4 linked regions of the Arabidopsis thaliana genome follow. The protein of the gene in region 1 interacts with the protein of each later gene in a pairwise test. Each region holds a gene or a part of one and is shown in the gene's direction. Other genes may lie near its edges.

Region 1 (6,814 bases):
TTATTAAATTTTACAATCTTCTAGTTTATCCCCGGATTTGTTTTCTGATGGAAATACGATGTAACGGAGGTGGCTCTTTACAAGGAAAACGGTGTTGACATGTGCAGAGAATTCCTGATGTCGTCAACTCACTACAATCACAAACAGGAACGTCATATATATGCCCTTTGATAAGGTGGTCTACGCACGTCTTGTTTCCATCAGCACCACATTTAACATCGTACCATGTGATAACTTTACAATATGGCACCGGTTCCACCTCTATGATTTATATCAACCACAAAGATTGTCAAAACTATATATTGATAATACGTCTTAGATTAATAAACTAATGATGAAAGAAGATTAGCATTTTTATTTTACCACAACGATGCTTGCGATGTAAATTTTATCAAGAAAGAAGAAAATAGTTGTAACAATCGATATCATTATATTGCTTACCACATTTGACATGGCTTATGTCGAGGAACATGAAAGTACAATAAACCACAAACAAACTAGCAAATCTCATGATTGATAATAAAATTTTACAAAAGCTTTTGTGTTTTCTTTAGTCTTGTAATGATTATAGTTTTTATATCAACATAAACAAACAATAGAAATTTATATTAATTCAGACCAAAAACGAAAAACAGGAGATGTGTGGGGGCAAATGGAAAACAATGAGATAACAAAGCTTAATGGCTATCTCTATATATGAATTAGATTATTTACTATTTAAATTGCTTTTTATTTATTTCCTTTGAACTAATTAGGGACATCTTAAAATCTTAGGGAAATAAATCTATCTATATATACTAATATATCTCTCTAATTAGAGAAAAAAAAATGACAATCAATTGAAGATCTTCAACCAAAACTACAAGAATTACAACAACCTTTCTTATATAAATATTAATAAGGAGAACTTGCAAGATCAAGTCTAGTCTCGCTTTCAAAAGCCCATGAAAACAATTTCAACATAGCCCATTTTCGTAATTCATTTGGCCAACTGTACTAACATGTTCTCATCAGGCCGTGCAAGACGGCTTGGCGAGTGCAGGTGAAAAATACATCATTCGTGGCGCCACAATACCAACACAACTGGTGAAACACTATAGTTAGTATTGGGAAGTTGTTGCACATGTAATTATCTGACACTCTGTTTTAGTATAAATCGTTTTCCTTTTTGATTTATCTTATTGTGTTTAACTTATTGTAATCATGATGTTAATATAGATTTCTCTGATTTATTTTATTCATACGGTGGCATGATTCATCATCAGACTCATAAGTATTTGAACCATCTGCCTAAAAAGATTTACATTATAACTAACCTTTGATTGGTGTAAGGAGATGATACAGAAGTGACTTTAAGATGGAGACGATACATAAGTGACTTTGAGATATGTTCTTTAGCATTAAACCTGTTATTCAGCTATGAAATAAAACAATTGTTAGTTATAATATCTATATTAAGGTGAATATATATTTTTGTATTAAATTAGATAATGAACTCTTATCTTCTTCTTTTTTAAAAAAAATAATAATATTAAATTAGATTAAAAAAAAATAGCGTTTTTACAACGAGTGCAACGTATAACAGTAGATTGAAATCAGAATGTAGAATGAATAAGCTTTGTGATTACTTTGAAGCCAGCATTGGAAGCAGGCCTCATATCAACTGTCCTTCTGTCGTTGAACGGTCCTTCTTATCTTCTTTTTGTTGATAACAGTACTTCAGGGAATGAATTCCCAAAGCTTGAATATATTCATCTATGTACAATCATCTAAAGATTAGACAAATTGTTTTGCAAAACAATCATCTTTGTTCTATAAAGAACAACCTACTACAATTAAAATTATAAGTTTCTTTTCTGTATTAAAAATACTGGAAATAAATTAGTTTTAGAATCGGAATGGTCAATCGGTTTAAATATATCCATGGGGTTACGATTCATATTTAAAATGAAACTATATTTACAAACATCAACAAAGAATCAAAATCACTTACACATCGATTGACCCAAAAGTATATTCAACTTGGACCATTAGCGGAAGCTATTGACATGTAGAACCGATTATAATCAGATCATGTTCTTCAAACTGAAGGAGAATTTTGGTTTCCAATTTGGATAGGAGAGAATTAGTTTCCAATTCATCAGTTAGATAACTTTTTCGAGTATTTGTTATTAATTAATAAATAAAATGATGCAAAGAAATTTAAGAAATAATAATGTTAATATAAAACAAATCTAATTCAAGAAAACCATATAAAATACAAAATAACATTAGAATACATAATCACGGAAACTTTACGACTAATTAACATTAGATTGAAAATTTTAAACTAACTCAGAATATTTTAAATAAAAATATTATTAAAAATAAAAGAAAAAAAGAAATAAGTTTTAGTTACCATGGGACGAGTTTATATGTGAGACAGATTTATATGGTGAGATGAGTTTGGATGAGAGAGATTTTTTGTTTGTCTTTTAAAAAACAACACTATAGTATATCAAAATAAGAGTTAATCTTCTTTCACACCTCTAAATGTTAATCTTCTTTCACACCTCTAAATGTTAATCTTCTTTAACACATCTAAATATATAATTGTAATAAAAAATTATTAAATTACCTATGTTCTAAGGGTAAAATTAAAAAATATAGAAATTTTAAATTATATAATTTAAAATACAAAAATTTGTGAATAAAACATAGGGTATACGGGACATATACTAGAAGATAAAATAATATTAGACTTACTAATATCATAAACTTATGACTTAATAAAAACCGTACACAACTTTATCAAAAATTATTAATCAACACAAACAACAATAGACATTGTACACAACAAATTCTTCATTTTGTAAAAATTTAAAATAAACAAAAAACTTAACCCTTGGTGTACCACGGGTCACATTCTAGATACGTATAAAATTAGGAGATACACACTTTGTATATAGATGCGTATAATATATATGCTTCCGGAACTATACAAAACCATATAGAAACATACTAATATAATCACTAAGTGTAAATAGATATAAACAATGAGTTTTGATAAATTGAATATCTAAGATCATTATTTAAATATAGATGATATTGAATTGAAACATTAAATTAATTCAAAACGAAAATAATCAAGCAGCAGTGTACCGCAGGTCAATATCTAGTTTGTTACATTAGCAGTAAATAGTCATACTTTATTTCATTATCTATAAAAATTGTACCCAAAAACAAATTTAGTTAGAGAAAGCGAGATAAATGGTAATTGTTGGTGTGCATATCAATTGAAGATTTCAGAAATTTTGTGACCCAATTTCAATTTTAATCCGATTCGCCAATGGTATTTTGGATAAATACTTTGAAAGACCAAGGTTTTTTGCCAAATATTCCAGAAAAAAAAACTAATATATATTTGATAGGTCTTATCCATTTCCAAATCTTGAAAATTGGACGCAGATGGGAAATATAAAAAGTCATTTCCAAAGTCTTGAAAATTGGAAGCAGATAGGAAAAGTAAAAAGTTATTTTGACCGTTTTCAATTGTCATTATCTTCTCTATATAATCCACCATCCTTTACAACCTCAAATATACGTTACATTATTGATATGGCAACACAAACCAACCAAGACCATTTCTCTGGGGACTTGCGAAGATCTTGGCAGAAAATTGGCAAGTTGACGTACGGCTCAAGGCAGTGGATAGTGATGATGGTTCAATTATCTCTGCCCAAAAAGTTATTCTGGTCTCTTCTTTTTTCATCTTCTCTTTATTGATATCATCATCTTATTCAAGAATCAATTAAATTTAGAAATGTTAATGTTTAGTGAGTGTTCCTTTTATGTGAAGTTTTTTTTTGTTGGGTTGGTGTGGTTATTGTAATGATTCTCTCAACAAGTATGTTTGGGATTTGAATAGGCATCAAGATCGGCGGTTTTGAAGAAGATGCTAGAATCAGACGAGTTCAAGACTTCGGCTAAGCAGGTGGGAACAATCACTCTCTTAGAGATGAAACAAGAAGAGCTAGAAGCTTTTGTTGAGTTTCTATATAGTGATGGTTCTATGCTTTCTTCGAAAGTGAAGCAACATGCTCGGGCACTCTATCGTGCGGCTGACAAATACGAGATTCTCCGACTACGAGAGCTATGCAGATCTGAGCTTATATCTTCTCTGAATTCGACGAATTCTCTTAACCTTCTTGAGCTCGCACAAATCCCTTTTGACAAAGTCCTCAACGATGCAGCCCTTAGTTATATTAAAACAAATGAACTTATGTTTCCTAGCTTTGATGAGTTCAAGTTGTTCGTTGATAATTACCCAAATCTTGCCGTGGAGGTAATGATGGCTTCTCTTACTCGGACTCCTAGTACAAGCTGTTCTAGGTGTGGTCTCATAACCTATCATAATCAGACTGGTACAAGCTGTTGTAGTTGTGGTTTTGACTATCCTCGTCGCAGCTAGATGAATCACAATGTAGTTTTTGTCGTATCAAATTAATAAACCATTTTTTATCGTTTTTGTTTCCAAAACTTACCAAGTCTCGTATTAAAATGATCGGGTTTTAGATTTATCTTTGTCTAATATTATTACATCTCTTTTCCTATGCATGCAAAAATAAGAAAATATATCGATTGTAAACCCAAGTAAATTGTTCATCTTAAAGATATTAGACTATGGGTACCAGTGCCCTTTGACTAGAAAGCGTTTAGACCATCTCTAATGGTGGTTTTCTAAGGGGCTTTAAATGTATGAGTCCGTAAAAAAAAGCTCAAAATAAATAAAAAATGCCAATATTGTTAATAGACATCCTTAATCTTAGGAATTTTTGGAGTGAAAAAGACTCATATGTGGCTTTTTCTAATTGGTCCGTTTACTGGAGTGAAATGTGTTAACCAACTTAAATATCCAAAAACTCGAAAAACATCCACCGATGTTCTTAACTAGCTAGGCCAATACAACGAATTTTCCCCTATAACGATTTTGATTATTAGAAAAAATATAGTTAAGAAAAATATAAGTAAGTATAAAAAAGGTGATTAATTTCGTTTATAGACATTTCAAAATGATCTATGGTAAAGTTGAATATCTATGAAACGTTCCAAAATTTCCCCTCACTAGTACATTTACAAATGAAACAAAATACAGAACCAGCTTATCTATATTCTCTAACTAATGTTGAGTTTAGGAGCATAATCACTCATAAGCCAACTTTTTTTTTCTCCGTCGACCGATATTAATTATGCAAAAAAAAAAAGTTATTTGTAACGAATATTGTTTACATAGGTAATATGATGCGGTTCGACACGAATTTTTTGGTTAAAGAATCCGTTTTAACATTTGCAGTACGAAAAATTAAAAATAAAGAAAAACGCCAACTTTTGTGTGAGTCATAGCAAAAGGTCTTTGTGGGTTTAGTTTGGGCCCAACTCCTATCATCTAAACCCAAGCACATACACAAATTTACCTGAGAATTTAAATTCCTTCAACTGGACCTTCTATCACCGTCCGGCTAAAAAAAAAAAGAGCTTTTGCAGACCAGCTTAATACCAAATCTGAAATCCCTGTACTGCCTTAAGATTTCATCACTTTGAATCTATTTTTCAATAAGTAAAAAAGGCGGTAAAAGCTCGTATAGAAAGTGAAATACTTCAGGTGATACAAACAAGATATAACAATCAAAAATACAACAAGCTAATTGAGTCACTAAGCACATAACAAGAAAGCAATCCCTCAATTATATTACCACCTTTACTTGGAAGTCTCTAAAGTTTCATGGAGATGCACTGCTACTGCTGTAACGATACATAGTGGCAAAATCCAAACATAAATGTCGGTCCCTATCATCGCCCCAACCTCCCCAACCTTCGAAACCGGCTTTATAACCCGCTTGATGCTTATACACCCGAACTCCCCATCCTTCTTTTATGTTCACAACTTTATCTGTTTCCTTAACTTCTATGTTTACGACCCCATTATCGATGCAATCACCCTCATCTCCTCTACCTTGATGCAACCCACATTTTCCAAAGTGTACCGCACTAGTCCTAGGCCCTCGCAATGTGTACACCGGGGAACCAAACGACGGGAAAACCGTTGCCCACATCGTTATATCCCAGTTGTAATCATCAAAGAAACAAAACTCTCTTGCCTTCTGATGAATATTCTCCCACACACTTCTATTAAAAGAATACCCAACATTTCCCATTCTCTCTGCAACCAAACTTTCAAGCCCTTCTCCTCTTGACTTCACATCAGACGGTGCTAAATTAGCAGCAAAACAGTCAGGACACTTTGCGGGTTTCAGCCTCGTAAGAGTCTGTATGTTACGATAGGCATTAGGAAACAGAAAATGATCTTCTTCAATGAAAAGGATATGCCCCTCATGTCCTTTAGTCTCTTCCAACCCATCCCATACAGTGTTCATCATCCACCACCAGTGATGCTTCAAAGATACAATCTTCGGAGACCGATGATTCCCATACTGATCAGGATTACCTTCACAATGCCCCTTTGCCTCATCACCCTTGTTCTTACAATCATTCAGGGTCACACCCGGGAAGCTAGTACGATATATATGAGGCGAATAAGGCGAGAAAATCTGTTTCACTTGACAAAACTTAATACTCTCCACAATCCTATTCATCTCTTCAAAGTAACCATCATGACTAACAATCAACAATGTCTCACTTATACCTTTAACCTTCGACAAACTTTCCACTGTGACTCGAAAATACTGAGCCCGATTATGCACATACAAGACGATAACCACACGATCTTTTGCCAAATCCGGGAACAGATCCGTATTTCTAGGCGAAAAATGGTTCC
Region 2 (8,405 bases), on another chromosome or scaffold:
GTGGTCCAAAGTCCAAGGTCTTGACGCGTGTCCTCTGTCTTTTTTGGCCCGCGAGTGTAGCGACGTGATTTATGGTCCCCTCATCTCTCTCTTAATTTTTTTCCTTCATTACCGGCTATTTCCGGTTGATTGGTTTATGCTAACCGGTTTTATCCTCTGTCGCCGTTAAATAGAGGGAAGCTAGTTCGGTAATAATTGTGATTAGCTTCTCACTAATTTATACTATGGTTAAGCAGAATTTTTAATGCGGTTGATACATAACAAACGAAATTAATATTGTTGATGCATCTAGGTTATTAGGTTCGATTCTTATAACATAATTTAGTTTTTCATGTAAAATTATTTTTCGTGGTTAACTAAAACCTTGAGTTGTCTACCAAAAAAGAAAGAAAAAGTTAAGCATAAGTGTATAACCTTAAGTTATGGACTTATTATGGGTATGTGGAGGGGAACGTAGTTTCTAAAATTGTTCATCAATATTGCATATATTGATTTGTTAGTTATAAACGGATAGTATTTTAGTGATGATATAGGAGAGAAAAACAAGTAAAGATTTTTGGGAAATCATAAAGAAAACAAATGGGTATTAGTGTATGACAAAATTAAAAAGGTTAGAGAGGGATGTCAAAAGTGATTAAGAGATAAGAAATCTTCGAAGTTGATTGGTTCTTTTTTCGACTTCAATCAATACTTCTCCTTTTTGTTGATGTTGTTCTTCACATACACACTTCGTTGTTTTTTCTTTCATTCTTATGTAGTTTTTAGTATTTGATTTGAGTTATCTTCTTCTTTTTGTTTTTGTATTTCTCATGTTAAATTATTCATCTCTTATAATTATAAATACTAGTGAATGATTAGTTGAAAATAAAATTTACATTACAAATAAAAATGTTATTACGACAAGCAATTGATTTAATTTAATTTATGAATATCTTTTATTTTAGCTGATTATGATTTTCTGACGCTCCTCGGAGTGACGTGGAAATCACGCTCCAACATTTACGGGGGTTGTTACGTATCGCGTCGCTTTAGATTTGTGGGTTGCTTATTGTTTAGGGATTGTTTATTAGTTTTCCGGTTACTATCCATTTGCATCCAAATAACTCAATAAACCTAAGTATGACTCACTTGTAGGAATATTCAGTAGATGATGGAGAATATTTCAATAATAAAACCATTTCTGACTAGAATTAATATAAATCAATAGAAGGACGTAAACATCACTCAAAAAATGATGATCGATATTAGAAGAAACTGTAGTGGGTACCAAGAAAATTAAACATACTTGTCGTCGGCACAAAATATTTTGGATTGTGAAACTATAATGCCTTGTTTTAGAAAGATGTGAGAGAATATAAAAAAACTTATGTGTTATTCAATTATAGAGAGATGAAATTCACCATATAAAACTTACATGTGTTATCATCAGTAATTACAATTATACACATCAAGAAAATTTCTATATTTTTCTAACTAGGAAAATTGTACTTCAACTGTTGATTTCATCATTGATCTAGAATATCTAATTACTTTTACTATCGTACATATTAAAATCGGAGATATGATGAATCGAAAAGATTAAAACTATATAAATTTTTATTTTTGTAAACTTTCCTACATGGACATACATTATACTAAAATTATATAATATGTAATGTATGATCGTGCATGTTTAAAATTCAGCGTTTCACACGTGTAGTTTGGGACAACTTCGGCGTTTTTTTGGTTGAGTAAGATGACATGTGGCTCGACATTCATAACTATTGTGAATAAAATAAATTGATTTATGTAATGATTGGACACATTTGATGAAGTGGTTTCTTGAAAATAAGACTTTGGATGGATGCAGTGTGGACAAACCGGTATAATTTGTTTGCGGTTTAGTTTATCTGGCAGACAAAAAACCGTTGCAGACCAAGTTTATTTGTATGTAAAAATGGTCTGCAGATGGTCCGTTGCGGTTTTCTTCTATTTTTTTTAGATCACTACGAACTATAATTAATAAATAATAAATAAAAAACGGTATGATCCGTTGACGGTTTTATCCGCCCCAACCGCCATAACCATTCAAATCCTAAATAAAAACGGTTTTGATAATATAAGAACCAGCCCAAAGATGAAGTTATATATGTGACTATGTTAACACACATTTATAGTATGAGTTAACCTAGACCTATTTGCGTCTCACTTCTTATTAAATGCTAAAAATTTACCAAAAGGACGCTATTCATCACAATTAAGTTTAAATCTCTAAATTAATTGATCGTTTAAGTTTTTAACCAAACTCAAATAAATAAAAAAATATACGATAACTTTTATTGTGACGATCGAATATACTACCATCAAATTTTATACCAAATTTCTGTTTCGTAGCATGTACGAAAATTTTCACTCCAAAAAAAATCTAAAAATTATATTTACCAAAAACTGTGATTTCAGAAAATTATGTGATTTTAAAGAACCAGTGATTTCTCAAATTATATTATATGAAATGATTATTATTATTTTAAAAAGGTGAAAGGGTGAAGCAAAAAAATAGTGTGCATAAACAAATAAGCTAATTTGTTTTCTGGTACTTAGGTCTTTTAAATCCATATAAATAAATTCTTAAAAGATTGTTTTATTTCAAATCTTTAACCTAAAATTGTAACTTTAAATTCATGATTAAATTTTTTGTTTTCAATAATTTCTCGTAACTTCATTACATAAAACGAGAAGGATTTATAATAGGTAAAGGCGTGAAGCAAAAAATAATTGTATAAATAAATAAGTTAAATTTGTTTCATAGTGCCATAAAATTACACTAACATCTGAACGTGAAACGCACGCGCTTCTTCATATCATAGATACGTTGCGTCTTAAAACACAACACGTAGCAACTCTTTTTAAAAAGGAAAAATACATTTATTATTCCCAACAATAAAAAAAATCAAACACAGTCGAAGAAGGCAACGACCTTTCGCAGCCGTCAGATCTTAATAAATACAGTCGCCACTAAAATTTAACGACATAGATCGAACCATGACGACCTACTTTCTTTAATTAATTTTCTGTCGTGACCTAATCTTCTATTTGTTGTTTCATTAGTCACTTACTTTTATATTTATTCTTTCTTAGGTCTATGTGGACCAAAGTGATTGGAAAAGAAAAAAAAATACATTTTTGTCAACCATAACTAAATTATCTTATTTTCTCAAATGCACTGTTTATTATGTAGCGTACTGATTTATTAAATACTTTTGCTTTCTATGGTTAATTTATGATGTCGGATTTTTATCTTTCCCCCAATAATAATATCACTATAGAAGAAAGTTTACAAATTCTTAGTTAAATCAAAAAAGATTTTATCAGTTGATTTGATTATACGAGGTGACATCAATTTTTGTCTTCTTTAACAAAAAAAATCAATTTTTGTTTTCTTTAACAAAAAAAATCAATTTTTGTCTTACTTTTTAATTAGCATTTAGAAAAATATTTAACAAATAAAAGTTCTCATAAGCGATTTTTAAAAAAATGTTTTGTTTTTACTATCTTTCAGTTTTTTTTTTTAAATTAATTTTCTAAAAAAACACATATATTAAAAAACATATTAAAACTAATTATAAACATATTATCTTTTGTGATTTATATTTTTTTATAATTCTAAACCAATGATATTCAATTATTTATCTTAAAATTAAAAATTTATCAATAATAACTAATAAATAATGTATAGAAAATTTAAAAATTATTTTTTTTAAAACAATTTTTTTCCTCTAAAAAATTAAATAATAAGGAATAGAGAAGGAATATTTTTTTATCTAATAAATTCCATATAATAATTCAATTATATTGATAAATAGGTTGCAAAAAATAAGAAAGAATAAATATGAGAATAAATGGTCATCTCTCGATCTCTCAGCTCTGTGCAACTCTGAACACACCCACACATATATACTCAGATACATACATACACACCACAAAAACCAATTATTTTCCAATTTTAAGAAAAGTTTCTGTGTCTTTTTTTTTTTTTTTGGTGATAATTGAAACATATGAAACAATCGTCGTCATAGAAGCAGCAGAGATTCACCTTCTTTCTTTATCTTTCCCTCTCAGAAACAGGAAACAAAATTCAAAAAGAACAAAAAAAAAAAGGTCAAACCAAAACGATGGCGTTTCATCACAATCATCTCTCACAAGACCTCTCCTTCAATCATTTCACCGACCAACACCAACCTCCACCTCCGCAACCGCCTCCTCCTCCTCCGCAACAGCAACAACATTTCCAAGAAGCACCGCCTCCTAATTGGTTAAACACAGCGCTTCTTCGTTCCTCAGATAACAACAATAACTTCCTCAACCTCCACACAGCCACCGCTAACACCACAACCGCAAGCAGCTCCGATTCTCCTTCCTCCGCCGCCGCCGCCGCCGCTGCTAACCAGTGGCTATCTCGCTCCTCCTCTTTCCTCCAACGAAACAACAACAACAACGCTTCCATAGTCGGAGATGGGATCGATGATGTCACCGGAGGAGCAGACACTATGATTCAGGGAGAGATGAAAACCGGCGGTGGAGAAAACAAAAACGACGGCGGAGGAGCTACGGCGGCGGATGGAGTAGTGAGCTGGCAGAATGCGAGACACAAGGCGGAGATCCTTTCGCATCCTCTTTACGAGCAGCTTTTGTCGGCGCACGTTGCTTGTTTGAGAATCGCGACTCCGGTTGATCAGCTTCCGAGAATCGATGCTCAGCTTGCTCAGTCTCAACACGTCGTCGCTAAATACTCAGCTTTAGGCGCCGCCGCTCAAGGTCTCGTCGGCGACGATAAAGAACTTGACCAGTTCATGGTATATAAATTTCAGATTTTTTTGTTCTATAATTTTATAATTAACGATTTCATAATTATACTTAGCACAAATTTTAATAATACACACCGACTTAGGTTTCTTGATTTTTGAAATCTTAAAATATTAAAATCAAGATTTGTGTTTTTAGGGATAAACAAGACTAAAATCCCAAAAAAAGAGCTTATGATATAATAATGGTCATGATGATGAAGAAAATACAAATTTTGTTCTTTGTGTTTATTGTGTGTTTGATTAATGTTTTTTTTATGGTGTAGACACATTATGTGTTGCTACTGTGTTCATTTAAAGAGCAATTGCAACAACATGTGCGTGTTCATGCAATGGAAGCTGTGATGGCTTGTTGGGAGATTGAGCAGTCTCTTCAAAGCTTAACAGGTGAGAAAATGAATCCTGTGATTAGCTCATGAATCCAATAGTTAGTTTTATGACATTGACAAGTTTTGTGTTTTATTGGTGAGATTAGGAGTGTCTCCTGGAGAAGGGATGGGAGCAACAATGTCTGACGATGAAGATGAACAAGTAGAGAGTGATGCTAATATGTTCGATGGGGGATTAGATGTGTTGGGTTTTGGTCCTTTGATTCCTACTGAGAGTGAGAGGTCGTTGATGGAAAGAGTTAGACAAGAACTTAAACATGAACTCAAACAGGTAATAATCAACAAACTTGTTCTTTGAACTAGTTCATGAACTAACAATGTAGAGGGCTTTGTCTTGTTGATGAAAAGGGTTACAAGGAGAAGATAGTAGACATAAGAGAGGAGATATTAAGGAAGAGAAGAGCTGGGAAGTTACCAGGAGATACCACCTCTGTTCTCAAAGCTTGGTGGCAATCTCATTCCAAATGGCCTTACCCTACTGTGAGTTCACTCATCTAACATCTCTTTATAACTTCTTCAAGTTCATTCATTGAGCCATAACCAAATATTGGTTTGTAGGAGGAAGATAAGGCGAGGTTGGTGCAAGAGACAGGTTTGCAGCTAAAACAGATAAACAATTGGTTCATCAATCAGAGAAAGAGGAACTGGCATAGCAATCCATCTTCTTCCACTGTATTGAAGAACAAACGCAAAAGGTATTATTATACTTTAATATAGTCTTGTAACATAACCGAAAAACTTATGGATCGGACTCAAAGAAGACTGAAACTTTTGTTTGTCTGATGAAAGCAATGCAGGTGACAATAGCGGAAGAGAGCGGTTCGCGTAGAAACAACAAACATATGATGTGAATTGGGGAGGTGGAAGATGGGATTTGAAAGCAGGGTTTTAGGGATTTAAAGTTGAGAATTTTATGGAGGAGTTTGGATTATACAGAGAGAGGGGACAGTATTAGAAAGTAACTTTTTGTGCAATTACATAGTAACGTAGTTTGGTTATGTGATTATGCCCATATATTTTATTAAGTAGCACACAAACCAAAAAGAAAATATGAAAACTGAAGATGCAGGCTTTTGTTTAATGTTTTTTGTTTGTTTGTCTGCATGAGTTTTTTTTTTATGAACCATCAGATAATCATCATCATCATCCATAATATATCTTGTGAATAAAGATAGTGAGAGAGGAGAACATTGGGATGCACAAGTTTTCTTAATCTACTAGTATATGTTACGCATTGACCAGGTGCATATGTTAATTTGTATCGCACCACTTGGTTAGCTTAATCTATGTGACTATTATACAGTATATGTTTCGCATTAACCGTACTTAACCCATCTTATGATTCTTATCCGCTTAGTTCGTAGTATTTATTGCGATGTCACATTCCAACTCGTGATATTGGCTTGATAAGTAAAAGACATTATACATGGTAGATGACGACAAAAAATAAAACATACCCCATCTTACATAACGTAGCTTGCTGCGTACTTTTGTAATTGTAATAATTTGAAACGTGTTCTTTTTTCTAGTCAAAATTGTTTGTTTATCCTCATCTTGTTGTTTCGTTTGTCACGTTTGTGATAGCCACAAGTTACTGTAAGTTTTCGGCGAGATTTTTCTATCGATCACGGAGAGATTCTGCACACATTAACAAAGATAATTAGAGTGTCCTTAAGTATTTTGGTCGCCTCTCTATTAGAGGACCATACAAAGTTCAAAGACTAGTCTCATGAGAAGCCCATTAGTACATTAGATTAAATCTAGGAAAGTAGATTCATATAAGTAGTTTTGTAATGAACATCAAAGTTGTTAACTTAGAGAATTGTCATTTGGATTGTATAAATGGTTTGATAAACGAAGTCTAACATTAGTATGTGTTAGTCTTCTAAATTCAAATAATAATCGGAGTTTTGGTCTCTTGGACGATGCTTCACAGTGATATTCAAAAGTTTACCGTTATCACCCACCAACTAGAGAAGCCAAATTAGGTCTTTTACCAACTGTAGGGTAAAGAACTGTCTTCATGTAATCATTATAACCACCACCATCTTGTTATGCTTTGTTTCTTCTTCAAATTGCAGCTTTCAATATACAACCCGGTTTACGTTCTGGTTTACACTTTAGACGTTTCAATTTACAAAATTGGGCCGATTGACAGATATTGGACCTGGCCCATCAATCTAAAAATGCGCTATTTTGAATCAAAGACCTATTTAAATCTTCCGACGACGACTCCGTTCACATAGCAGAAACAGTGGCGACAAACCCTATCACGGAGCCAACCCGCATTTTCCTCTAGCTTTCGCACCGCCTCTCGCTCTCTCGCCCCACCGGTTCGTCTCTGACATTTTGTGCTTGATTTGGCCGTTACAAAATTCTGATTGCTAGTTCATGAGATTCCTTTTTGACAGGTGACATAAAGATGGATGGTAGCTTGTATGGTGAGTGTGGTAACTATATTGGACCTGAGATTGAATCTGACAGAGATAGTGATGATAGTGTAGAAGATGAAGATCTCCAAGAGCCTGGGGGTTCTAATGGCTGGATTACCACTATCAATGAGAACCAAAATATTGTTCTTCCTGAGGATAAGAAGTACTACCCTATTGCTAAGGAGGTTTATGGTGAGGATGTTGAGACCTTGGTTATGGATGAAGATGAGCAGTCTCTTGAGCAACCCATTATCAAACCCGTTAGAGATATTAGATTTGAGGTGGGGGTCATCAAGGATCAAACAACAACGTATGTGTCAACACTGTTTCTTATCGGCCTCATGTCTAATCCTGCGCTTGTGAGGAATGTTGCTCTTGTGGGGCATCTCCAGCACGGCAAAACTGTCTTCATGGATATGTTGGTAGAGCAGACGCATCGTATGTCTACTTTTAATGCTGAAAACGACAAGCATATGAGATATACGGACACAAGAGTCGATGAGCAGGAGAGAAATATATCTATCAAGGCGGTTCCAATGTCTCTTGTCCTTGAGGACAGTAGATCCAAATCATACCTGTGCAATATCATGGATACACCTGGAAATGTCAATTTCTCTGACGAAATGACTGCTTCTTTAAGACTTGCTGATGGTGCTGTTTTCATTGTTGATGCTGCTCAAGGAGTCATGGTAACTAGTCTTTACTCTCTCTTTTTTCAAGTATACTATTTGTAGTACTAACGC
Region 3 (8,719 bases), on another chromosome or scaffold:
TATCAACGTTGGTTCACTTAAAACGTTCTTTTAATTAGGTTCTTAACTTCTTATTATATTCAAATATCCAACCCACTAATGGCCACATTTTCGTTTACATACATCAAACACCTATAATAAATTAAAAATATAATAATTGCATTGTATTTACATTTTGTAACACGTTGAAACTATTAGAGGAAGGAAAAATAAAGAAATCAAATTCTAACAAAATTTATGAATTTGTTGGATTAGTAGCCAAACATATTCAAATTTGGTGGGCAGATAAGAAATAGACAAACTCGTTGACCAGAAGACTTTCGCTGCCACTGGATCACTTTTCTCGTTCCAGTTGGCCTACCTCGCCAGTTCCACGCCATCTTTCATAAACCTCTTTTTGCTTTCATTATGATGAAATACTTTGGGTTATAAAAATATAGAGTATGTATTTGGGTATTTATATGAATTTATTCCGCATAAGTGTACGAAAATTATACTGTAGATGGCAATTGATAAAGCATCCAATTATATATGTTTGTTATTTCTCCTAAACCTATATATATATCTTTTGTTGTAAGGAGTAAAATTGTATTCTGAAAAATAAAAGTCCCGAGTCCGAGTGTGTTATCCTACTAATTTCAAAACATTTAGGGTTACGAGTGGTAAATATATCTTTAAGTTCTGACATCAACTAAGCGTATTTATGTAATGGGAATTGATCTTTGATTTCGGTTAACTATTTTAGCGGTTTGCAGGAGTAGGTATTTAAATAACTTTGTTACCAAATGACAAATGTCAGAAATTGATTGCCAAAGAGAAGAGTTCAAATAAAAGATAAGGCGAAAATGCTGTGGAGAACATTGGAGACATGATTGGCGTGCTTTTTATATGGGATCCTAGCTAACAGAGCAAAATATATTAAGTTACAGAATACAGAAGCACTAAATGGAAATAAGTGGTAAAAATAGCTTCGAATACATTAGCTCCATCTGTTTCACATGCGGTAAACTGAACCTTATAGTTATAGCTCATTTTGCAGGTTTTAGTGTACAAGATGTTGCAAAGAAAGAAATGTGAGATCCGTGTGATATAAAGAACGGCCACAACCATTATCGACATACCTTACTCGTATGCATTTTCAGTAACAGGCACACAAATGTTCTTCCAAATTAAACAAAATCATAGTTCTGTTAAAGTTTAATATATCAGATTGTCAAACGATTATCTGTAAAATTAAGTTCTTGCAATACCCACTAATTTTACCATTTGGAGCCTAGTCAGAGATTGGCATTTTGGGAAGATGGAATTATAAACAATAAAATTCAATGTGAAAAATCTGTTGGTAGATCTGAATCAAAATACACAGCAAGAATGCATCACTATAACATATAGTCGTTAAATCTACTCAAACATATATACTGAAGTCATCAGAAAACAAAAATTATGATGAAAGCTGAGAGAAGTAAAAATCCTAAAATAATGGATCAGTATGATCTAGAGATACTTACTTATATATGAACCAGAAAAAAATTAGGATCATATGAAATAATTTGGATTCTTTTTTCGGAAAGCTAAGATCATTTGAGAGGTTCAAAACATCTACAAGAATTCAAGATAGAGAGAAAATGAACATACCAAAAAGTTCTCGAGCTATATCCAAGAAATACCTCCGATCTGTGAATTCCTACAAAAAGATTGGACTATGAAATTTCCAATCAACACAAACCTGTTTCTATGTGTAAGCCACTGATTGCAGCTGCAGCATCATCAAGATTCTCATACATACATCAAAAATCTAATCATAAATGGGTTTATTTACACGAATACTTGATGATTTGTGAATCTTGATGATGCTCCAACAGCGAACAGTAGCTGGTTGATGATAGGGATGTATGTAGTGATTTGGTTTTGTCTTGGATCTTTTCAAGACTCAAGACGGCACCATTTTGCTGGAAACATGAAACCCTAATTTCAATCCTTAATCTAGAGTCTAGCTAGTGACCTAGAAAGAGATAGATGTAGACTTTTATATATATGAAGCGATAAAGAAGAGCCTATTTGGTGTTTTCTCCAATGATGTGCATAAAATATATATAATTAACAAATTAAAAATACGTTAACTGAGATCTCAGATACTCAGGTCATTAGTACAAAGTACAAACGTCTAATAGAGGCCAATTTTGTCATCCATATTCAATTCAAACCATATCATTTGCCATAACCGTACCCATATATAGATATTTGTTAGTCTACAAAAGACTGTATAAATCGTTTTATCTTGTGTTCAAGCCATCAACTATGATATCAAATTACCAGATCACTCATGCTAAAGAATCCATCGAAATGTATTAAGTTTGTCGAAGTTCGTTACTCTATATGGTGGATTTTAAATATTTGATTTGGTTAGATAATTTTTAGTTATACCGTCAAATAAATTTCCAACTATTTAGTCAGCGAATTTAAAGATCAAACACTAATCATCAGTAATGGTTTGCTGAAAATCGTCAGAATTTCTTTTACTAGTGAGCAAGTTTTAAGATGAAATAAAAGGTGTGAAACGAAATAGAGAAAAGGTAGAGAGGGAAGAGACAAGCGTGAGACACGGAGAAGTGGAACTGATCTCTTTACGTTCCTCGTACGTTTACCAAGTTACACTGCTTTCCATATTTCTATATTATTATTCCCTCCATCCCTTTCTTCACATACTTTATGTAACTTCTTTTTAAAAACCAATTATTTGTATTCTAATTGATTGAATCAAATAGTTTCTATAAGACTATAAATAAACATAATTCGAATTCAAATTCGGCAGCGTTGAAAGATATATGTTGAACAATACATTACCACACTTATTAGTAGAATATATTTATTTCTAGAGTCTCAAAACATAAGCCAAAAAGCCGAAAGCACCTTTTTATCTTTGTGGGTTTGGTGCAATGGATCATATATATGGTACATTAGCATTTTTATCATCTTTCTCTTTTATCATTTTTCTTGTATTGTCGGGCTTGCGTCAGGCCTGTACTTATCTTCATACAACATTATTTATGTACATAACCAGAATTCAGGCCACAAACAATACGTGAGCTATTCAGGATCACGAGGTCCACGCGCTCGCTCACCTTCCTCTTTCCTCAAAGGCTTTAGCTAATTGTTAACTAGATGGAAAACAGTGCTATGGTTGAATTTTAACATATTGGTTACTACTATCTCAATAATATTTTGTAATACAAATGTCGGTAGATGAATTGATATACCACCTTCATGGATGATGAAGATCCACTTTTAAAGCCCAATTTTTTGTTTTTCTTCGATGCCGAAATCAATATGGGCACATGTGGATCCTACTATAGCAGTTCCTCAATTTGAGTTAAAAATCTTTGGGTTTTAGGCTTTTAGCCCAAGGAAAAAAAAAAAAAAAAGAACCAATTTTTATTTTTTATAATTTAATAAGAACCAAATTATTCATCATTATATACTTCTGACAACAAATATTTACTATGTATATTATATAGTGAAGAAGCTGTGACATGAAACAGATTCAAGCCAATCGTCTGATTAGCTAGAGAATCACTGTCATAATCTATTAGTTGACAAAGAATGAATGACACTAGTACAGTAGTTAATATGAGTGCGGATTCTCGTAATCTCAACGTATCTACGTCAATAAGCTCATTTATACATCATTAAATTAAAGTACAACATTCCAATTTATGTTTGGTGGGTTCCTTTTTATCAAGACGTATACGATTATACCAAACCTTTATCCATAATTATTTTTAAATGATACATTTCGTAAATATTAATATTACGATTATTATTTTTAAACCTAAAATCTTTGAATTTTATAAAATTTTAAAATTGATAAAAAAGATACGGGATTTTTTTTGAGTTAATTGATTTTCTAATAAAGATATTGGATTCTTAGTGTTTTTTTTATTCTATAATTTATTTATAACGCGGAAATAAAAAGCAAAATAATTAATTAAGTGAGGAGAGTTTTAATATTTTGATGTTTATTTCTAAATTCATCTCTTTTTTCCACTTCTGTTCAGCTCTGATGAATCTTCTTCCTCTGTTACTTTGATCTCTTTCTCCATCCTTGTCTCTGTCGATTCTCTGAGATATCTTCTCTCGAGCTTTTTCCCGCGTTATCTCTCTCCCACTCCTGGTAATATTTTCTTCTTCTTCTTCTTCTAGATTGTTCTTCCGTTACTAGCTCTTGAATCCATTTCCACGGATCTCTGATCTTCAATCTCTGTTTTCATTCTCTCTAATCAGTTGTTGAGCTTGATATTTTTAGCTAACGTTTTTCCGATTCAAATTTACGATTTGTGTGTTTTCCGATAACCAAATCGGATATCTTCAGCTCAAACTCGAGCTCCGATTTCGTCTCATGTTGTAGATCTCGACGACTTCGTATTTGTCTATGGTTTGCTGATTGTATTCAGATTGCTAGATACTCAATATAGAGCTTACTTTTACCTCAGCTAGGGTTCGTCTTTGTTGTACCTTTAGTTGCTGCTTTTTGATTCTTGTATATATGGATTTTGATTGTTCAATCGTAATTTCTGGTTCATTGAAAATCGATTTATTAGTATTCGAAATTGGAACTAAGATTTAGAGATTGCGAATTTGATACAGAAGTCATTTCAAAGTATCAGAGCTATAAAATGGTGCTTAGCTAGTTTCTGGTTTCCATTTCTGGATTTTCATTCAAATACGAAATCTATTCGTCAAAATGGTGTCACTAGTGTTCTGTAGAAATTTCATTACAGACTTTTAGTTGTTGCCTAGTATCAACTCATATCTCAGCGGTAGATATGATGAATCTACTAGACATATTTTTCAATTATCGCCTCCTTTTACAAGTTTATCATGTCATTATTTTGTTGATAACTACATGAATGCTGGCTGAAATATTAATTTGTCTCTTTTTCCTCTTAATTGGTTCAGGTTGGAGCTTGATGTCTAAATTGTTATTGAACTGCTGGAGTCTGTCTTGCTTTAAGTAGAAAGAGATGAGTTACACGACGGCGACTGCTGATAGTGATGATGGTATGCACTCCAGCATCCATAATGAATCACCAGCTCCTGATAGTATTAGCAATGGCTGCAGAAGTAGAGGGAAAAGAAGTGTCCTGAAGAAAGGACCATGGACTTCAACTGAAGACGGGATTTTAATTGATTATGTAAAGAAGCACGGCGAGGGTAACTGGAATGCTGTGCAGAAACACACTAGCCTGGCCCGTTGTGGTAAAAGCTGTCGTCTGAGATGGGCTAATCATCTGAGGCCAAACTTGAAGAAAGGAGCATTTAGCCAAGAAGAAGAACAGCTCATTGTTGAAATGCACGCCAAGATGGGAAATAAATGGGCACAGATGGCTGAACATGTAAGTAGTTTTGTAACTGCGGAAGCTACCTGATCATGGTCCATTTTCATATTTTGATATTCTTTGTGAGCCTAAAGACTAATTAATCTCTGGTATGATGTTTTCTTCTTGTTTACCAGTTACCTGGTCGAACAGATAATGAGATAAAGAATTATTGGAACACTCGTATCAAGAGGAGACAACGAGCAGGCTTACCACTTTACCCTCCTGAAATCTATGTTGATGACCTTCATTGGAGCGAAGAGTATACAAAGAGTAATATCATAAGAGTAGATAGAAGAAGAAGACATCAAGATTTCTTGCAGTTGGGGAATTCTAAAGATAATGTCTTATTTGACGATCTAAATTTTGCTGCTAGCTTGTTACCTGCCGCTTCTGACCTATCAGATTTGGTTGCATGCAACATGCTAGGAACTGGCGCAAGTTCTTCCCGGTATGAGAGCTACATGCCACCAATATTGCCTTCCCCAAAGCAAATCTGGGAATCTGGATCTCGGTTTCCCATGTGCAGCAGTAACATAAAGCATGAATTCCAATCGCCGGAACACTTTCAGAATACGGCTGTACAGAAGAATCCCAGATCTTGCAGTATCTCGCCTTGTGATGTTGATCATCATCCTTATGAAAACCAACATTCGTCTCATATGATGATGGTTCCTGATAGCCATACAGTTACGTATGGCATGCATCCTACTTCTAAGCCCTTGTTTGGGGCAGTGAAGCTGGAGCTCCCTTCATTCCAATATTCAGAAACTAGTGCATTTGATCAGTGGAAGACGACTCCGTCACCTCCACACTCAGATCTCCTTGACTCTGTTGATGCCTATATTCAATCTCCACCACCATCGCAGGTAGAGGAGTCAGATTGTTTCTCTTCATGCGACACCGGCCTACTAGATATGTTACTTCATGAGGCCAAGATCAAAACTAGTGCGAAGCACAGTTTGTTGATGTCATCACCCCAGAAGAGTTTCAGTTCAACTACTTGCACGACCAATGTTACTCAGAATGTACCACGTGGCAGCGAAAACCTGATCAAATCAGGAGAATATGAAGATTCCCAAAAGTATTTGGGTCGCTCCGAGATTACAAGTCCCTCGCAACTTAGTGCAGGTGGTTTTTCATCAGGTGAGTTGATCAAAGTTACTTGTTGATTGGTATCTTATCTACTCTTGTTCCATATTGATTCTTATGCAGCTGTGTTGGTTTTCGTATATGAAGCTTTTGCAGGGAATGTTGTAAAGACAGAAGAGTTGGATCAGGTTTGGGAACCAAAGAGAGTTGATATAACACGGCCTGATGTTTTACTTGCGTCGAGCTGGCTTGACCAAGGCTGTTATGGCATTGTTAGTGACACAAGCAGCATGAGTGATGCGCTTGCACTTCTTGGTGGTGACGACATTGGGAACAGTTACGTGACTGTTGGGTCATCATCAGGTCAAGCACCACGAGGCGTCGGGTCTTATGGATGGACCAATATGCCTCCTGTTTGGTCGCTGTAACAAAATGAACCATATCACACAATTTGAATCTTTCTGTATTTTCATGCACCTGGCTTACATGACTTGGTGGTTTGTTATAGTTGAGAGAAGATTTGTGGACTTGGTAAAAATTTGGATTTTCTTCACCTGATTTTTCTTATACTTGGAAGGCATTTATATATACTCATTTCTTGTTCCTGCTACTTCCATCATACTAGCTCGATTGGTTTTGTTTAGATTGTAAAGAAGCAAATCAAAATTAGGGCTTATTGTAGCCCAACCTCTAATTGGGACCGGAGACACAGCAGCATGAGCGATGCGCTTTATTTCACAACTTGAAACTAGACGCTAATCAAACGTTACATAAGATTATGTAAAAAACAACATACTCCATAATAGTGGCTCCAGCACTCTCAATATATAGAGACATCAAAGGGAAATGAATCATTACAAATAATAAAAAAGTTTTAGGTCTTGCTTCTCGCAAAGTAACGGTGCCCCAAGAGGATTAAAACCCAAAATTCTCATGGGACTCCGAAATGATTTTACCTCATACTCCGGTTTTCTTGTTTCTAATGATTTCCTTAAGCTCTGCAAACTTCTTCTTGCATTGGTTCATCGTTTTACCAGGGACAGCTGCAGCTACTCTCTCCCATCTTTGGCTTGTCTCTTTCGGGAATGTCTTTAAAGCTTGAACCAAAGCTCTTTCTTGCACAGTCGACCAACTATCTGCGTCTGAACTTCCACCTACTTCACCATTGTTGTCTGAGCTTTGACTGCTCGAGCTTTTCCCCACAACAGTCTCTTTAGAGGGCTTTGCATTTGTTGTGGTCGTCATTGTGGGTAGAGATTCTCCGAGCTCCTCTCTTGTGGAGAGAGGGGATGTGATTGAAGCAGAGGGTTTCCTCTTCTCGAGGAAAGAATCGAATGCTTTAGCTGAATCTGGTTTTTGCAGGAGAACTGTTTTAGTTGCTTTCAGAATTTCCTCTACAGATCTTCCTGTACCAATGTACTCTGAAATAACTTCCCATCTCCGCGATGTCCCCTTTGGATATTTTATCATTCCTTTTCTCAGCATATCAATCTCTTCCTTGCTCCATGGTTGTTTCTTCTGAGTGCTACTATCTAACTGTGAAACTCGGGTTGTAGGCTCTGTGCCACCGTTGGTCTTCTTACTTACTTTTTCTTTAGATTCGGCTTCATCATTTCTACTACTGTTGCATCCATCTTTGATCACCTTTGCCAATTCTAGTCCTTCTTTGTTTCCCATTTTATCACATAGATTCTGCAACTGCTCGGTGTTAAGTGACATGCATAGATTCTCTATATCTTCCTCAGAGATGTCAAGCAGACGCTGAGCCACGAGAGGAGCTGAGAGAGTTCTAAGACGATTTCGTTCTTTGCGTAAGAGCTTCTTCTCTCTTTCCTTAGTTTTCTTTTGTTGTTGTGCAGATTCTGCTGCTCGCTTTTCTTCTTCTTCTTTTCGCCTTTTCTCTTCTTCAGCAGCAATAGCAGCGTCCTCTTCCTGCTTCTTCTTGGCCTGAATTTTTGCATCTTTTTTCTGTTGCTTCTCAGCCTTTTCTTCCTCTTTTCTTTTCACAATTCTCGGGTCTTTTCTATACGCATTGTCAACAAGAGTCCTGATTCGAGCATGCTCCTCCTTTCTAGCCTTCACAGTTTTTTTTGCATTCTCCTTTTCCATCCACCTACGTTCTTCACGGGAATCTGCTTGTTCAAGATCATGCTCCTCTTCATCAGGAAATTCCCTCCAACTCTTGAAAGCGTACCAAAAGTTGTAGAACTTATCAACATCTTTAAGTGGTGTGTTTTCATCTCCCAAATCTGGAATACGCTGATTCACTGACC
Region 4 (6,430 bases), on another chromosome or scaffold:
TTAGACCACAGAGATTCAAGAATAGATCATCACAGAATTTGAAGAAGAGAAAGTTGCTGGCCTTTATTATTGACAGTAGAATATGTCTTATCTAAACAAAACATTGAGCAAACAAGCCCTTGTGAATTGCATATGGAGTTTGTTAATTATCTCACCAAGACAAGTTACATTAATGCATCTTTTCCAAATGGTAGAGACAGAACCATGTGAACTCTTGCTCTAGTTTGTCCCACGCTTCAAGACCAAGAGTTTCAATGATTTTTTCAGAGAGGCTTAACTCCTTCATTGATATTTCTATATATACACACATAAACCCATTCTTTCTATCATCAACCAACAACAAGCAATATATCCAATAACTTGAATCTTTTCATTCATCTTCAGATTTGCTTAAAAAAGAAATCAAATTTTCAGACAAATAGAGAATTATAAATGGCTCTGGTGAGAAGTCTACTGGGTGCAAAAAAGATTCTAAGCCGCTCCACCGCAGCAGTCTCGGCGGCACCAAAAGGGTTTCTTGCAGTGTACGTAGGAGAGAGCCAGAAGAAAAGATACTTAGTGCCACTCTCATACTTGAACCAACCTTCTTTTCAAGCTCTGCTCAGTAAATCTGAAGATGAGTTTGGGTTTGATCATCCGATGGGGGGCTTAACGATACCTTGTCATGAAGATACGTTCATCAATGTGACTTCTCGGCTCCAATGATCATGATCCAACATTTTGTTTTTCCGAGTTAGATATAGACTTAATTCATTGTAAATAGCTTTTTTCTCTTTCTTCTTGAAAGAGTACTTGTTCTAAAAGTTTAGAGAATGGATGCCATTTTTGTGCAACCGACACGACATGTCAATACATTTTGGAATGATCTTTGAAAACTAAAGACCACACCATTTGAAGAACCTTTCATTATAGTTAAATCATGGTTAGAAAAGTATATGTTTCCCTGTTTATCATCCGGATCCATGCCTCAATGGTAGCACGTCGAGTTCAAAATCCCGATCACTTTCCGGAAATCTCTTGTTAACCGCTATCTTCAGATTACCCCAATATCTAGCTAAAGATATTACATAACGAAATGCTTGCAAGTGCAGTTTCAAAGACATGCAAGAAAATCCTTTTGGTGCCATTGAGGCTTCCAGTAATCTTTTTTGCTTACATATAAGACTTTCCATCAAATGCAATTCTTAAATTTTATAGATATAATTTATCCAAGAAGTAGCGATCAACATCTCAATTCTTGACACAGATTAAAGTCTCATAAAACAAACTTAACTTGAGACCACAAACAGAGTTTCACAACAAGCATACGGTTTTCAAAATACATAAAACAGAAAATAAGTCTGATAAAACATTCTTAAAATGAGACCAACATAGAGAGGTTCCACAACTAGGAGATACTTTCCAAGATCTCAGCTCTTGTTTAGTTGATAGATAAGCGTGGGATACAGAAGTCAACAAGCAGACCTGTTGGCTCTTTCACCTGAGACTCCTCGCCACCACCAAGCTGGACAAACATACGGCTCAAACACACTTTGACAAATGAAGTCTTCTTCTTGTAACATATCTTCACAGTAGCAACAGTTTTTCCCTCGGACTTATTCACTGCAACTATGATGACATCCCTAAGTCCAACATAGCGTGATTCCTTACGAGACAGGCTAGACAGGCCCTCGTAAACTCCCTACCACACAAAAAAAAAAGGTTGAATAAGATTAGATCAAAACTTTGTCATTGATCTTTGAAAATTTCGAAATTTATCTCACAACACTTTACCTCTCCAACATTATCAAGGTCTGGACTGAACACATGGAGTCTTGCACCCACCGGTTGTTTAATCAACAGCTTAAACGCTTCATCCAAACTCTTAGTCTCAATCACTTCTCCTTTCATGGGCACGCGGGGTATGTGACAAGCAAATGGGGGAGCCTTGAATGTACATCCCACATGTGCCCAATGTTCTCTTCTCGGTAGCCCTTTCTTGAAAGCACATTCAAGGCAGTCTTTGACAGTGAGTGGTTGCTCCCTCTCCCTGCACATCTTACCTCTTATTCCAGACATTTTCCACCATATACTGATGCAAGTTTTCGATAGTGAACTGAGAGCTTGGTTCATCCATTTCTCCCTGGTCGTCTTCCTTCCCAGCATTATCCACCAAATACTGAGCTGAGACGCATCTGCAAGACAAAAAAAAAATGAAAATGTTGTAGTCAATTCATATGACTCTTTCAAAGGATTAGACTATATTAAAAAGGGAGTAAACTACTATCAGCTAAAATCAATCACAGTATCTCTTAACGATGCGAATAAAGTAATGTTCTCTAGAACAAGATTTGATTCATTTACCGTAATCTTCTTGCTCACTACTTGCTTTTACGCAATCTGGATGACAGAGGCCACGCGTCTTTGCCATAGATTGCATGAATCGCTGAATCATATTCATCTTCGATTACTTATCCCTGGTTTCAAGTAGAATCCAGCAGAAGAACACATTCAGAAATCCAGTAGAGTCAAGCAGATAAGGCAAAAGGAAAAACAAAAACAAGACCTAACTAGCGAAAACCATAAACATGGTTTCAAGTTTTGACATAAACACAACCATTTCTAGTTGCAGAGGAAAAATCGTCGAACAAGAAGCTTTAGAGTAAACCAAAGTAACAATGATAGCTTCCATTAACAAAGAACAACTCTAACGTTAAAAAGGATTCAAATCATTCATCCAAAAAAAAAAGTTCAAACCCTAAAGTTTATCTCTGTTCACTAATAGCACTGAGAAAGGCCAAGTCACGGAGTAGAATCGGTAACAAATCCAAAACAAGCTAAAAGAATCCAACAGAGAGAGAAAATTGAGAGAAATTACCGGAGACACAGAGAGACGAGAATCAGAAGGAGAAGACATTCGCAATCGCCGTCGCGTCGAGAGAAACTCAGAGAATGTTCGCGAAACAAACTCTCACAGTCGTCGCGAAGATTTCCCCTCAGCTTTGTCCCGAAACGTGTCGCCTTTTTAAGACTTCAACTTTAGTCCTCAAGACGACGACGTTTGAAACTTTCCTTAAAACGTTGCCGTTTTTATGACATTGCCAATGTTTTTAAAAGTCTTTTTAACAACATCGTTTTTGCCTGTTTATTTAAGGGCAACAATTATAGTTTAACAACAATTTTCTTTTAGGCTCCAATGATGATGATCCAACATTTTGTTTTTCCGAGTTAGACATCGACTTATTCGTTGTAAATAGATTTTTTCTCTTTCTTCTTGAAAGAGTACTTGTTCTAAAAGTTTAGAGAGTGGATACCATTTTTTGTGCAACCGATCACGATCATGTCAATGCATTTTTTGGAGAGCAAGAAAATATTTGAGGCATAAGCTTCTTCAAGTACTAATACAAGTATCTCTCCATATCAGAAGAGCAAGAAATCTTCCAGTCTTTGAACATTATTTAGATAAGTAAAAGAATAATCTTGTTTTTTAGTTTGTAAAAAGATATAAGACAAAATAAGTTTAAAAAGAAAATAGTAGACAAAATATCATACGCTAAAACCAACATTACAAATTTGAAAAGAAAAAATGTGATATTGGCTTACTTATCTAATTTTAAGAATATTGGCTTTGAATTACATGGATATATTTCCTTTTTAAAGAATCGTTTTCCTAATATATTAAAAATCCTTAAAATCCACATATATATACGAAATCACCTTTTCTATTTGTCTACCTGAAAGTTTCAAGTCTTCAACGCGTTTATTATTGTTTTTCAGTTTTGCTCTAAAGATCATTTGTTGTTCCCCTTGGATTATTGCTATAATATATAGATCCTTAACTTTTTGTCTGATTTGCGTTTTCTTTGTCTCATAGAACAAGAAAAGAATATGTCGATGGTTAAGTACTACGATAAAGAGGAACATGTTGGGTTTTGGTTTCATCCTTCTGCCCAAGAACTCATCATCCGTTATATCGGGCCTAAGGTTACCAAAAGATCAAATAAAGAATTTGAATTAGAAGACAAGTTTGACATCTATGCCAAAGAGCCGTGGCGGTTGTCTCACACCGAGACTAACTTTTTGGAACCTAATGAATGGTTCTAGTTCGTGAAAGTGAATCATCTCTCTGAAAACGTTACTGGAAAACGCATCAGCCGCAAAGTCAAAGGAGAGACGGTTGATGGATGTTGGAAAGGCCATGGGAAGTTGAGTGATGTCGTGTTGGAAGATACCGGTGCAGTGATTGGGAAGAAGTCTAAGTTTCTACGTCAAAGGTGAGAGACAAGCCAGTGGTTGGACCATGACAGAATACTATCTCGAAAACGGTGGCTCATTATTCCATGTTCAAGTTCTCTGCCACCTTAAAGGACCATGATTATGTGTCTTGGTAAATTTTCAGTGAAGAGGATAATAACTTCTACTTCTATCTTATTTTACTTCAATTTTGTGTCTAGTTTGATATTTCCCTTTGCATAATTTATTTAAATTCCTCATAAAAACTTTAGGAAAATCTCGTATATTCTTGTTTATTTAAAGACATGTAGATCATTATTTTTATGAGGAGTTTGTAACTGCTCACCTTCTTGTTTTCACAAACGAAAAAATATTTTCTTGTTTTGAGGATCAAAGAGATTATCTCATCTAATATATGAGATATTAATAATGATCAGGCCCATCCATGCCTATGAAGGAAAAAGAGAAACTTTGGCCTACGAAATGGATAAGAAATTGGTTAAATTAATGGGAGATTTGCAAAACTATATTTTTTGACTACCTTTTTGCCATAATACTCTTTTATATTATTTATTTTTAAAAATATCTTTTTTCTTGAACAGAATGACCAAATTACCCTCATTTAATAATAACAAGTACTTGGAAACTTTCAATTTCCCGCCAAAAAAAAAAATTCCGGCAAACTTTTTTTCCCGCCAAAAAAAAACTTTTCCGCCAAAAATTTTTCTCGTAAAATTTTTTTCCCAGCCAAAAAATGCTTTTAAAAAACCTTGTAAATTTTTTAAAAACTCTTTAAAAAACCTTGTAAAGTTTTCTAAAAGCTTTGGTAGTTGCTAAAAACCATTGTAAATCATTTTAAAACCTCTTAAAATCTTTATAAAGTCTTTAAAAACATAGGTAAATACTTTAAAACACCTTTTTAAATCTTTGTAAATCATTTTAAAGCTTTTTACAATAGTTTTACAAGATTTTCAATCGTTTTTAAGCATAAATAAGAAGCATTGAATGATTTACAAGGGATTTTAAAAGCTTATAAAAGGGTAAAACATGATTTACAATCGTTTTTAAAGCATAAGTTAGTGGCATAGAATGATTTACAAGGGATTTTAAAAGTGTTTGTATGGTTTACAATCGTTTTAAAGCATAAGTAAGTGTTATTGAATGATTTACAAGGGATTTTAAAAGGGGTTAAAATGATTTACAATCGTTTTTAAAGCATAAGTAAGTGTCAAAGAATGATTTACAAGGGATTTTAAACCTTTGTAAATCCTTTTAAAACTCTTATAAAGTCTTTACAAGCATTTTTTAACTTTTAAAAAAAAGAATTGTAAGTATTTAAAACATTTATAACTCTTTTTGAACCATTTTAAATCTCTTGTGAACCTTTACAAAAGGTTTTAAAAAGAGTTACAAGAATTTTTAAAAGTTTTTCTTATAAATTCTTTTAAAATATTATAAAAACTCTTGTACATCTTTTAAAACTCTTTAAAAATCCCTTGTAAATCTTTTAAAACACTTTCGAACCCTTTAAAAATCTTTTAAAAACTCTTGTAAGTCTTTTAAAGCCCTTTAAAATCTCTTGTAAATCTTTTAAAACCTTTTTAAAATCTCTTGTAAATCTTTTAAACCCTTTTAAAATCTCTTGTAAATCTTTTAAACCCTTTTAAAATTTCTTGTAAATCTTTTAAAACCCTTTTAAAATCCCTTGTAAATCTATTTCCTGCCAAAAACAAAAATTTTACGGGAAAATATTTTCGAAAAAAAATTTGGCGGGAAATTTTTTTCAGAGAAAATTTTTAGCGGGATTTTTTTTCCGAAATTTTTGGCGGGAAAAATGTTTTTGAAAAAAAAATTTGGCGGGAAATTTTTTTCACGAAATTTTTGGCGGGAAGTTTTTTCCCGAAATTTTTTGGCGGGAAATTTTATTTTAGAATGTTTTAGGCGAAAAATATTAATACTTCATTTTATTAACCTAAATCAATTTACAAATAGGGGTAAAATGGTCATTAAAATTTAAAGAGGGTATAAATGAAAATAGTAAATAGAAAAGGGTAAAATTGAAAAGAGATAGTGTGAAAAGTGAATTAGAAAGAATTTTTCTAAATTAAGACAGTGGGTAAGAAGATTAATAATGCTCTCACTTGATTTTAGAAAGTATAATTAAAATAGTTATTCAGTCGGCGTTGTCCTTTATTTTTCCGGTAATCGATCCAAAATG

The links.
Region 2: the proteins of AT2G05330 (region 1) and KNAT3 interact in a two-hybrid assay, tested with the Arabidopsis thaliana proteins (one large-scale study listed by BioGRID).
Region 3: the proteins of AT2G05330 (region 1) and MYB65 interact in a two-hybrid assay, tested with the Arabidopsis thaliana proteins (one large-scale study listed by BioGRID).
Region 4: the proteins of AT2G05330 (region 1) and AT5G18037 interact in a two-hybrid assay, tested with the Arabidopsis thaliana proteins (one large-scale study listed by BioGRID).

What each region holds. Positions count from the first base shown.
Region 1 is NC_003071.7:1,936,254-1,943,067, reverse strand, and holds AT2G05330 (BTB/POZ domain-containing protein), read left to right. Parts: upstream 1-3,597; coding exon 3,598-3,702; exon of another isoform or gene 3,703-3,734; intron 3,735-3,907; coding exon 3,908-4,450; 3' UTR 4,451-4,491; downstream 4,492-6,814. Other genes in the region: SCRL15 (SCR-like 15), read right to left, coding at 26-261, 442-511; AT2G05320 (beta-1,2-N-acetylglucosaminyltransferase II), read right to left, coding at 5,760-6,814. UniProt on the Arabidopsis thaliana protein: May act as a substrate-specific adapter of an E3 ubiquitin-protein ligase complex (CUL3-RBX1-BTB) which mediates the ubiquitination and subsequent proteasomal degradation of target proteins.
Region 2 is NC_003076.8:8,732,057-8,740,461, forward strand, and holds KNAT3 (homeobox protein knotted-1-like 3), read left to right. Parts: upstream 1-3,887; 5' UTR 3,888-4,151; coding exon 4,152-4,832; intron 4,833-5,107; coding exon 5,108-5,228; intron 5,229-5,316; coding exon 5,317-5,501; intron 5,502-5,578; coding exon 5,579-5,710; intron 5,711-5,788; coding exon 5,789-5,925; intron 5,926-6,019; coding exon 6,020-6,059; 3' UTR 6,060-6,545; downstream 6,546-8,405. Other genes in the region: AT5G25230 (Ribosomal protein S5/Elongation factor G/III/V family protein), read left to right, coding at 7,653-8,351.
Region 3 is NC_003074.8:3,598,056-3,606,774, forward strand, and holds MYB65 (myb domain protein 65), read left to right. Parts: upstream 1-3,980; 5' UTR 3,981-4,150; intron 4,151-4,293; exon of another isoform or gene 4,294-4,474; intron 4,475-4,828; exon of another isoform or gene 4,829-4,935; 5' UTR 4,936-5,000; coding exon 5,001-5,372; intron 5,373-5,491; coding exon 5,492-6,500; coding exon of another isoform or gene 6,501-6,526; exon of another isoform or gene 6,527-6,593; coding exon 6,594-6,874; 3' UTR 6,875-7,117; downstream 7,118-8,719. Other genes in the region: AT3G11450 (DnaJ and Myb-like DNA-binding domain-containing protein), read right to left, coding at 7,404-8,719. UniProt on the Arabidopsis thaliana protein: Transcriptional activator of alpha-amylase expression that binds to 5'-CAACTGTC-3' motif in target gene promoter. In vegetative tissues, inhibits growth by reducing cell proliferation. Promotes the expression of aleurone-related genes (e.g.
Region 4 is NC_003076.8:5,968,966-5,975,395, reverse strand, and holds AT5G18037 (NAC (No Apical Meristem) domain transcriptional regulator superfamily protein), read left to right. Parts: upstream 1-3,829; 5' UTR 3,830-3,867; coding exon 3,868-4,083; 3' UTR 4,084-4,295; downstream 4,296-6,430. Other genes in the region: SAUR22 (SAUR-like auxin-responsive protein family), read left to right, coding at 433-705; AT5G18040 (target of trans acting-siR480/255 protein), read right to left, coding at 1,421-1,681, 1,774-2,174, 2,344-2,440.